Linked DNA regions of Rattus norvegicus. The protein of the gene in region 1 interacts with the protein of each later gene in a biochemical or structural test. Links are inferred from orthologs where the notes say so. Each region holds a gene or a part of one and is shown in the gene's direction. Other genes may lie near its edges.

What was found.
Region 2: the proteins of Tnrc6a (region 1) and Ago2 form a complex in vitro, tested with the Homo sapiens proteins (2 studies listed by BioGRID). The link is inferred for Rattus norvegicus from reciprocal best matches to the Homo sapiens genes TNRC6A and AGO2.
Region 3: the proteins of Tnrc6a (region 1) and Cnot1 form a complex in vitro, tested with the Homo sapiens proteins (2 studies listed by BioGRID). The link is inferred for Rattus norvegicus from reciprocal best matches to the Homo sapiens genes TNRC6A and CNOT1.

What each region holds. Positions count from the first base shown.
Region 1 is NC_086019.1:187,122,471-187,126,122, forward strand, and holds part of Tnrc6a (trinucleotide repeat-containing gene 6A protein), read left to right. Parts: coding exon 1-1,579; intron 1,580-2,830; coding exon 2,831-3,007; intron 3,008-3,652.
Region 2 is NC_086025.1:106,931,546-106,935,197, reverse strand, and holds part of Ago2 (protein argonaute-2), read left to right. Parts: intron 1-383; coding exon 384-517; intron 518-2,425; coding exon 2,426-2,610; intron 2,611-3,652.
Region 3 is NC_086037.1:9,313,272-9,316,923, forward strand, and holds part of Cnot1 (CCR4-NOT transcription complex subunit 1), read left to right. Parts: intron 1-243; coding exon 244-368; intron 369-612; coding exon 613-899; intron 900-1,749; coding exon 1,750-1,828; intron 1,829-3,652.

The sequences.
Region 1 (3,652 bases):
TGTGCAGGCCCTAATGGCCAAGCCAATGGTGACACTGTGAATGCAACTCTAATGCAGCCTGGCATAAATGGGCCTATGGGCACTAACTTTCAAGTTAGTACAAATAAAGGGGGAGGTGTATGGGAGCCTGGGACAGTGAATTCCCAGAGTTCACCATGGGGAAGTGGAAATGGTGCAAATTCTGGAGGAAGTCGAAGAGGATGGGGAAGTCCTGCACAGAACACTGGCACTAGTCTGTCCAGTGTTGAGTGGAACAAACTGCCTAGCAACCAGCATTCCAATGACAGTGCAAATGGCAATGGTAGTAAGAAACTTACAAATGGATGGAAATCTACTGAGGAAGATGATCAGGGTTCTGGCACATCTCAGACGAATGAGCAAAACAGTGTGTGGGCCAAAGCAGGAGGCACAGTGGAGAGTGATGGTAGTGCAGAGAGCACTGGACGCCTTGAAGAAAAAGTAACCGGGGAAAGCCAGAGTAGAGATAGAAGAAAAATTGATCAGCACACATTACTCCAAAGCATTGTAAACAGAACTGACTTAGATCCACGTGTCCTATCCAATTCTGGGTGGGGACAGACTCCTATTAAGCAGAATACTGCCTGGGATACAGAGACATCACCAAGAGGGGAAAGAAAGACTGACAATGGGACAGAGGCCTGGGGAAGCTCTGCAACACAGACTTTTAACTCAGGGGCATGTACAGATAAGACTAGCCCTAATAGTAATGATACCTCATCTGTATCAGGGTGGGGTGATCCCAAACCTACTCTGAGGTGGGGAGATTCCAAAGGCTCAAACTGCCAGGGGGGGTGGGAAGATGATTCTGCTGCTACAGGAATGATCAAGAGCAATCAGTGGGGGCATTGCAAAGAAGACAAGTCTGCATGGAATGATTCGCAAAAGAACAAACAAGGCTGGGGCGATGGACAAAAGTCAAGCCAAGGTTGGTCCGTTTCTGCCAGTGATAACTGGGGAGAATCTTCCAGGAGTAACCATTGGGGTGAGGCTAATAAGAAATCCAGCTCAGGAGGCAGTGACAGCGACAGGTCCATTTCTGGTTGGAACGAACTTGGTAAAACTAGTTCTTTTACTTGGGGAAATAATATAAATCCAAATAACTCATCAGGATGGGATGAATCTTCTAAACCTAACTCTTCCCAGGGATGGGGAGACCCTCCAAAGTGTAATCAGTCCCTAGGTTGGGGAGATTCATCAAAACCAGTTAGTTCTCCAGATTGGAACAAGCAACAAGACATTGTTGGATCGTGGGGAATCCCACCAGCCACCAGCAAGCCTCCTGGTACAGGCTGGCTTGGGGGACCTATTCCTGCTCCAGCAAAGGAGGAAGAACCCACAGGCTGGGAGGAACCATCCCCAGAGTCTATACGACGAAAAATGGAGATCGATGATGGAACTTCAGCTTGGGGAGATCCAAGCAAATACAACTACAAAAATGTGAACATGTGGAATAAAAACATCCCAGAAGGCAGCAGCCGCTCAGACCAGCAAGCACAGATGCACCGGTTGTTGCCGGCTGCAAGTGCCATCTCAAGCAAGGAGACCAGCAGTGGCTCTGGTAAGCGTTCCTATGTGGAGTGCAGTGGTATTGTGGAAGCAAGCTTTGTGTTGACATGCAGTCATAAGATTTGTGTATCACAGTTCTTGAGCGTGCACATCAAGGCCTTTCAGCTGTGACCTAGAGGTGAAGTCTACCAGGCAACAGCTCTGTCTTGGGAGTGTTGCCCTATTCTGTTAGGAATGTAGTAGAAGGGACTGAGTGGCAGAGTTACGTACTTATTTAGGTATTCTTAACCAAGCCTTAATAATGTGGTTTCACTATTGAAGTACAATAAAGCCAAGTGCCTGAGTACAGTACTCTGGATATTTGATATTATGTTTGACCTTAGTGGGTTTCCTAAATGAGGCATGAAGTCAGCATCTACTCAGATAACTGGATACAGTGTGTGCATCTGAAGCATTGCACTGCTTTCTAGTATGCTCGACCTTTCCTCTCCTGTACTGAGCAAAGTCTTTTCTCTGTAAATTGATAGGGCAACATTTTGTAAATGTGACAGGCCCACAATGCCTTTGTTAATGGGGAGGTTTTTTGTTTTTGTTTTTTTTTTTTTGGTTCTTTTTTTCGGAGCTGGGGACCGAACCCAGGGCCTTGCGCTTCCTAGGCAAGCGCTCTACCACTGAGCTAAATCCCCAACCCCGTTAATGGGAGTTTTATTGAGTAACGCTGCATTGGTTAGAGAGCTGGTAATGTTTTCAGGAATTCTTCTTTTAGTGCCTAATTTTGTGGGGTTTTTGTTTTGTTTTGAAATACAAGCCTATTCTATTGATTTATGTTTAACTCTTAGGGAAAGTGTAGACCTCTTTTCCCGTGTGTATAAGGTAGGCTGGCTGTTTACTTGATGGTAGTCATAGTCAGTTGTTGTCCACTACAGTGCTATGGGAAGAGTGTCCTTTCAGTAAAATGTAATTAGTGTAACTTTACACTGCACCTGCCTCAGGTCTCAAGCTTTGGTTCAGAAGAACCTGACGTTTTTAGGAAGATGATTTGCTATATTAAATTATTCAAAAGAGTCTCCTCTTACACCAGATGGCAGTTTTGAAAGAAAAGGTTAAAACGTTATACAGTTATATTAATGCAGAATAATTTGTGTTCTTCACAAAATATGCCTCTTGCTTGTCACAGCATCATTTTTCAGTTGTGTGATGTGAAATTCTTCATCTCGCTTCCCAAGTCCTCTTCCTTGTGTCCTTTATTTAAGGTGTTTCCTAATGTCTATGCTGATGACTTTTTTTCCCATGCTTTCTAAAGGCTGGGGTGAGCCTTGGGCAGAGCCTTCTACTCCAGCCACGACTGTGGATAATGGTACTTCAGCCTGGGGCAAGCCCATAGACAGTGGTCCCAGCTGGGGAGAACCCATTACTGCAGCATCCAGTGCATCCACGTGGGGCTCCAACTCTGTTGGTCCACAATCATTAAGCAAATCTGGTAAGTCATCTGTGATTGTTAGCAGCCATTTTGTAGTGCTGATGATAAACTCATGAACTACATTTAAAAAATGGGCTAGTGCTTCTAAATTGTCACTACTGATGTATTTCTCAAAAGTAACTAAGAATAATTTACATATCCTCCACTAAATCTAAATTCTTTTGTTTGATTATTTAAAACTGAATGTAGCAGCTTTTATGCCATTCAGCTTGAGAGACTAGATAATATAATGTGAGACACGTGTCCAAACCATCAAATCTTAGAAGGGAAGGACCCTGAAATGTACATGAATATTGTTCCTCTACCATGTTGGGCTCAGGACACATTATGGGAGCCCCAAGGCCTGTGTGTGTAGAGATAGATGTTTGTTCTACTGTGGCTTCAGTACCCTTTGAACAGCCTTGTAGAGAATAATAGTATAGACAATTGTCTTTTCCACCTCATTCACCCTCTGTTCTTTGTATCATTTTAAAAAACCAAGTAGGTATGCATAAGAAACCACTATTGCTCATGATTAGAAATCCTAAGATTTATGAAGACATGGAAAGTTTCATTGGATGTTTAAATAAGTTCTTTCCAGTGTCTTTGAATATAGTCAAAAAGCACCTTTTCTGTTACATGCATTTGAGAAGTAAAGATGTGTAT
Region 2 (3,652 bases), on another chromosome or scaffold:
ACCCATTGTCCCTTCCCATCCATCCATCTGACCACACTCAACCTCATCCACTCACCCATCCTTTGGTACCTTCATCCAGCTCTACTCATGCGTCCTTCGCATCCACTCATTTATTCCCCACATTCACCCGTCCGTCTGACCCTTCACTCTACCCATCTAGGGCTCATCATTGCTCCTGTTAATTTCTCATCCAGCTTGCCACGTCCATTCAGAACCCACCATTCTGCATGTGTTGTGGGGGTTGCTTATAGTGCTAAGGAATGCTAGAGACGTGGAGACAACACACCCGTTGTGATGTGGTGCTTTAGGAGTCCTTGTGGTCAGGAGGGCCAGCAGCAAGAACATTTTCATTTGTTCCCCACTGAACTACTTTGTATTTGCAGAACAAAGCGATTGCCACCCCTGTCCAGGGTGTGTGGGACATGAGAAACAAGCAGTTCCACACGGGCATCGAGATCAAGGTGTGGGCCATCGCCTGCTTTGCACCCCAGCGCCAGTGTACAGAAGTCCATCTCAAGTAAGCCTGCCTGAGGCCTCCATGTGCCTGGCCTTGTTTCTGTTAGTCAGATGGGTCACTGGGGTTCCGACACCAGTGGCTGGCAGCCTTTCTCTAACAGAGAGCACTCGCTCACGGTGACTCCCATTTATGAAATGTGGTGAGGCCAAGGTTAGCTGTGAGAGAAAACAGTACCTGAGTTAAAATAAATCAGTCGCCATGGAAGCAGAGGGTGGACATAGTCGGTGGACTCAGACTGTAGAAACAACACATTTTACTGTCTCTGTCTGTAGCCCTGGCTGTCCAAGAACTCAACTATGTAGCCCTGGCTGGCCTTGAACTCACAGATCTACCTGCCTCTGCCTCCGCTATTGATGGGATTACAGGTGCCCCCTTTTCTCATTAAGCCATTGTGCTGGTGCTACTGTGACGTTTCAGTGAATTAAATGAGAAGTGAAACTGAAAACTGGGTGGTAAGCGACAGTAGAAGAGGTCAGTATTGTGGTGGGCTTCAGTGGCTGCTCTCCAGGGGAGGGACGGGTTACAGTTCACCCATCAGGAGTGGGTTAACTGCTCCCAGCCACCTTCCCTGTAGCTTAGGACTGATACAGTGAGCTGCAGAGGCCCGCTCCTCTGCCCAGAACACTGAGTGTTGGGCCAGTGGCAAGTAACTAAGCTTGACCAGTGCCAACAAGATTGTACCTTAGAGCTCACAGGGTTTTTACTCGTGTTCCAAGGTTAGAGGGGAAATAAGACATTTGGTTCTTACCTGTCTGGGGGCAGTGAAGGGGGCACCCCAAAACCTGCAGAGAATAGCTGTAACACTACCACCCCAACAAGAGGCTATTTGGTGAAGCTGTCTTACGCAGGGCTGAGTTCACTGGATAGAGGCTGTCATTCTACACTGGTGTAGCTTTTGCTTGTGCTTCTGAGAGAACGAGCCAGGAGCCCAGAGAAAAGTCAGAGCAGAGGCTAGATGCTGACCAACTTCTGCCCATCTTCTATTTTTGGTCTCTATCCCCAGGCACACCTACCTGTTGATGGTGTGACTGCAGGTACACATATGTGCATTCTGTAAGTGCAGCGCATGGGAGGTGAACTCTGTTCCACTAGGTTGGAACTAAATGTCCTCACCTTGGCTGCTGGTTGGATGTTTTTACTCTGAACATAGCCAGTCTTCTCAGCCCCCTGAGTCTTGTTGCAGTCCAAATGCTGGCTTTGCTTGACTGCCACCTGTTCTGTTTCCTTCTGGGTCTGTGTCTCCACGGTCAAGCTATACCCACCAGAACAGCAGGGAAAACCCATACGGCAGCTGAAGGTGTCCCTTATTTTACCAGAGCCCTAACAGAGTTGCTTAGTAGGCCTGTGTGGCCCAAAAGAGCCATACTGTGTCACTACAGAAAGGCAGCAAGCAGGCACTTATATCTGCCATTTTATCCCAGCAATTATCCCTGGGCCTTCCATGGGTTTGTGGTGCACTCACCCCCTTCATGGGTTAATGCCTGAGATTAAATTCTAGCATGGCATGGTGCCTACCCCCCAACCCTAGCCCCCAGAGGGGTGAGGCAGCAGAATCCTGAGTTTGAGGCCAGTCTAAGCTACCAAAAGCAAATAAAAAACATAATTCTCTTTGTTTGTTTTTGCTTTGTTTAGATAGAATCTTGTATATCTCAGGCTAGCCTCAAACTCATCGTGTAGTTTTAAATGACCTTGCACTATAGATCCTCCTGCCTCTCCTCCCAAATGCTAAGATTACCATACCTGCAATATCCAGTGTTTGGGATCAAACTTTGGGCGTGCTAGGCAAGCACTTAAAATCCTCTCCCCACCCCTTTGACTTTATTAAACTGTATTCAGAACCCCTGGTTGAAAGGATATGACTTCCTTTCCATATATTGTACATCTTAGCCAAGTGGCTTTTCCCCTCAGGTCCTTCACAGAGCAACTGAGGAAGATCTCAAGAGATGCTGGGATGCCTATCCAGGGTCAGCCCTGCTTCTGTAAATACGCACAGGGGGCAGACAGTGTGGAACCCATGTTCCGACACCTGAAGAACACATACGCTGGTCTCCAGCTGGTGGTGGTTATCCTGCCTGGCAAGACTCCTGTGTACGGTAGGTGTCAGCCATCTGTAGGCCTTTGGGAGTCGAGGGGGTTCCAGTGGCTGTGATTTGCCTGTTCCCCTTTGTGTGGACTGAACTGAGTGGTGGGTTCATTCCTGAGCCTGAGAAAGGGGAGAGGGAGGTCAGGTTACTCTAGTCCATTTTCCAGGCCATTGTCACTGTTGTCTTGAATGAGGCCCCAGTCCCAGGTATCTAGCAAGTCCCGGTGGCCCATAGCTGCAGATAGTTTCTGCAGTTGCCCAATGTTTGGAATTCTAGGAATGGATAAATGTTCTCCTTTGTTTTGACACCAACACCCCAAGAGATGGCGTTTGTAGTTATTGGTCGTTTAGGGAGGTCGGGTGCAGATTATTAGTGGTCATGGTCAATAGAAACAAAAGGAAATAAATTGGATTCAGGAGTCTCTCTGTCCCTACTATCCTTTCTCTCCTATCTAGTGATAGGGGGGGAGACCAGTGAATAAAGGGTGGGGAAAAAAGAAACCACGAAGTAGCAACAGCCAGCTACAGCCCATAATTTGACTTGAGGGTTGGTTTGATAGTCATGCTGTGGCAGGAGTGTTGGCAGATGAGAGAGTCCCCTGCTATGCCAGTGTTCCCTGAGGAGGCCCCACTGACTCTTGATTCCCTAGGCCTCAGTCAGCACGTCTGGTCTCTGCCACCAGCCCAGACAAGGCTGGGTTTCTGTTGGTTAGACGGTAGTTGCTCATTTCATCAGTGGAGAAGCCCAATGATGCTGAGAGAAGAGGGAATGAATCAGGTACAGCCTTCCTTTCAGGAGGCCTTCAGCGGGGCAGGGCGGTCATACCGACAGATCTGCAGGGTGAGAGCTGTCCGCCCCCAGAGGCTTTCAGCAAAAGGGTGTTGGTGTGAGATCTGGTGGTGCAGGAGTCAGAAAGCAACTGGGATTCTTAATGGTTGTTACTAGTAGGGGTCTGTCCTGTCTAACCACAGGCAGACTGCAGACCCACGGCCGCCGTGCTTTCCCCCTCCAGGTTCAAAGCAGGCTTGCTCGTGCAGTGGTGTTTGGATGG
Region 3 (3,652 bases), on another chromosome or scaffold:
TTTTTACTGCAGTAGGATTTACAAAATACTGTACAACCAAGTAAAGCAATTTATTTAGAAGTCTTTTTTGTCTGCCTGTACAGCTCTGTTGGTAAAATCCATCATTTGATCCTTGAACCTTCAGTTTTTTTTTATATGTCCCCTCTTCCCCACTTCAAGTTAGAACCATGTTAGTCTCTCTGGCTTTCTGGGGGAATTGAAAGATTTAAATATGTATACTGATAGCCTTTTCCTCCCCAATAGCCGACTTGTCTCAGGTGTGGCCAGAGGCAAATCAGCACTTTAGTAAAGAAATAGATGACGAAGCAAACAGCTATTTCCAGCGAATATATAATCACCCCCCACATCCAACCATGTCTGTTGATGAGGTGAGTGTCTAGGCTTCCTGATTCTCATGTTCATAAACTCGAAATGAGGGCACTTTGAAGGTTTTTAGAAATTCACTTAAAATGTAGTATTTCTGTGTATCTTTTGAAATTTTAATGTTTGTGTCAGCTCTGTTTTTTGGCACTGGTAAATGCTTTTCTCAGGAAGTCTGCTATTCAGGTATATGAGGATGATTCTTGGTAAAGTTTCTTGTATGCATGCATTGTGTTTATCTTGCTTTTCCAGGTACTAGAAATGCTACAGAGATTTAAAGACTCTACAATAAAAAGGGAGCGAGAAGTATTTAACTGTATGCTAAGGAACTTATTTGAAGAATACCGGTTTTTTCCCCAGTACCCTGATAAAGAATTACATATAACAGCCTGCTTGTTTGGTGGCATAATTGAAAAAGGACTGGTCACTTACATGGCATTGGGTCTGGCCCTGCGATATGTTCTTGAAGCCTTACGGAAGCCTTTTGGGTCCAAAATGTATTATTTTGGTATTGCTGCACTAGATAGATTTAAAAATAGGTGAGTACTGAGACTGACACTTCTTCCTTCTTCCCCAGGCCTTCTCAGCCTTCTTCGTTCTGGGTGTATCTTTTTTTTTTTTTTTTTTTTTAAAGATTTATTCATTTATTATATATAAGTACACTGTAGCTGTCTTCAGATACACCAGAAGAGGGCACCGGATCTCTTTACAGATGGTTGTGAGCCACCATGTGTTTGCTGGGAATTGAACTCAGGACCTCTGGAAGAGCAGTCAGTGCTCTAACCACTGAGCCATCTCTCCAGCCCTGGGTGTATCTTTTTATTATGTGGAGCAGCAACTAGTGTATATATATCACACACAATGCGTACACTTCCATATTAGGTATATACTAACCTGTACAGCTAAGTCCATTGTGTGCCCAATGTACAGAGTGAATTTTTTTTTAAAGCAGAGATAATGACTCTGTTTATTTTGTATTACACAATTTTCAGTTACTTTTAAATTTTGATTGGATCTCTTCCAGTCTGGCCTGGAAATCTTAATTCTCTGTTCTTCAGTGTCCCGAGTGCTGAGACTGTAGGCCTGTGTGAGCATACCTGGATGATGGTGTGTCTCTGGGTGGAGTGAGGGTCATCCCTGTTGGTGGTCATCCCAGTGTTTCCCCTGAGATGTAGCCAGGCTGACCTTGAGCTTATGCCGCTGTTGTTATTGTTAGGTCCTGGGGTCGTGTGTGCACCATTCCTGGCTGGCAGTCGTCTTCCGTTTGACGTTGTCTTCACAATAACAGTGGTGGAATGATTCTCAATAGTAGTGGCTGGAAAAAACAAAACAAAACCCTTTTTCCTGTACTTACATGAAATGATGAATGAACAATTTATTTTTTGGCAGATTGAAGGACTATCCTCAGTATTGTCAACACCTGGCTTCTATCAGTCACTTTATGCAGTTCCCACACCATTTGCAGGAGGTAAGTGTCCTGATCTGTATGCCTGTCAGGTGGGCAGAGGCTGGATTGACTCTTGGTTTGTTTGGGGATTCAGTGAGAGACGCTAGTAAGGTTAAGGTGGGTTTTGTTTTGCTTTACTCTGTTGTAGGATTACTGCGTAGTAAGTGTAAGGACACACACTGTTCATGGCCTGTATGGAGGGTAGAGGATCCTTGTGGATTGCAGGCCATGTTCTTGGAATTCCGCTGCTGTTCTTGGGCGTCCTAGACAAGTGCTCTCCTTAGGCTTGCCCTTTGTGGGTTTGTTTGTTTGTTTGACACATTGTCTCACTATGCCCCTCTAGCTGCCAAGAATCCAATAGGTATCCTTGGCTGTCTCAAAATTCAGAAATTCCCCTGCCTCTGCGTCTAAAGTGCTGGAATTAAAGGCGTGAGTCACAATGGCTAGGTAAAGATTCTTGAATGATCTCAGTCTATGAGGTCGTTCCTTGCTCAGTTTTGGACTTAATAATAAGCCAAATTAAAATGTCATTCATGGTGTAATGGTTTTGAGCTGTAGTTTTTATTGTTGAATTAAAAGGCTTTTACCGGTTCTTGTGACCTGGTGATACTTTTGAACAGTAGGTATATTTCACTCAGTGAATCTTTACATATATGCAAACTTTCCTGATTCTAGAAAATAGTGGAGTTCAGAGGTTGGTGGCACCCACCTTTAATCCCAGCAACTGCATCTCAGATGAAGGCTAGCCTAGTCTATAAAGTGAAATCTGGTCTGTGTGCCAATGCTAGACCGTCTGATCCTATCTCACAAAAAATAAACAACCCCCACGACAAAATTACACAATCCAAAGTTGGTCTACAAATTGTTACTTAAAAAAAAATCTTTTAAGTTACCTGCTTAGATTCTGTGGAGGAACTCAGCAGGAGTCAGCTTCTACAGAAGTAGACCTAGGAAATAATGCATATTATTCTTGGTGTTCCATTAAAATTTGAGGACCCTTTTTAGTGGTTCATTTGGAATGATAGCCATTAATTATGCACACTTTTGACTTGAATTTTGGATATTCAGTTTGAAATGAAACTTGTTTAATTTCTTAGGATTCTAATTGTTAAAATTTACATACAGAAGATATTTCATAAGGAGTAAGAATGATCACATTTAAAGTCTTAGCCTGCCAACAATGATGACAGTGTGGGAAATTCTCATGTAGCCCTACAGGCATTATTGATTGGTGAGAGCAAGGATTAGCCTTTCCCAAGGGAGGAGCTCCCCAGTCAGTTAGTTACTCAGTGTCAAATAATCAATCAACATAACACAGTACTGAAGAGACTGAGCAGATCGTGTGTGTTTGTGTGTGTGGGGGTGGCAGGGATAATATCATTAGAGGCCATGAATTTAAGATTGCATGGGTGGTACATGGGAAGATGATAATTTAATAAATTGCAAACATTTTTTAAAGGTCCTGCCTTCCTGTTGATGCTTCTAGGGAACAAATTAGACATTTATATTCCCCATCCATCCATCCATCCATCCATCCATCCATCCATCCATCCTATAAGACAAGCACCTTTTTAAAAAAACACCAAGGTGTCACTGTCTTTACTTGAACTCAGAGCTCCTATTACTGTTCGCTCTGTCTGTTGTGGTTAAAGCTGTGCACCCCTGTACCTGAGTCCTCAAACGCCTTGAACAAATCACTTAAGCTGCACATGGTTGCTTCACACCTTAATCCCATCACTGGGAGGACAGGGGTAAGCAAATCTCTTGAAATCAAGTCAGATTAGGGCTACATAGGGATAGTTTGCTCCACCACCCCCCCCCCACACACACACACACTCCCACCCT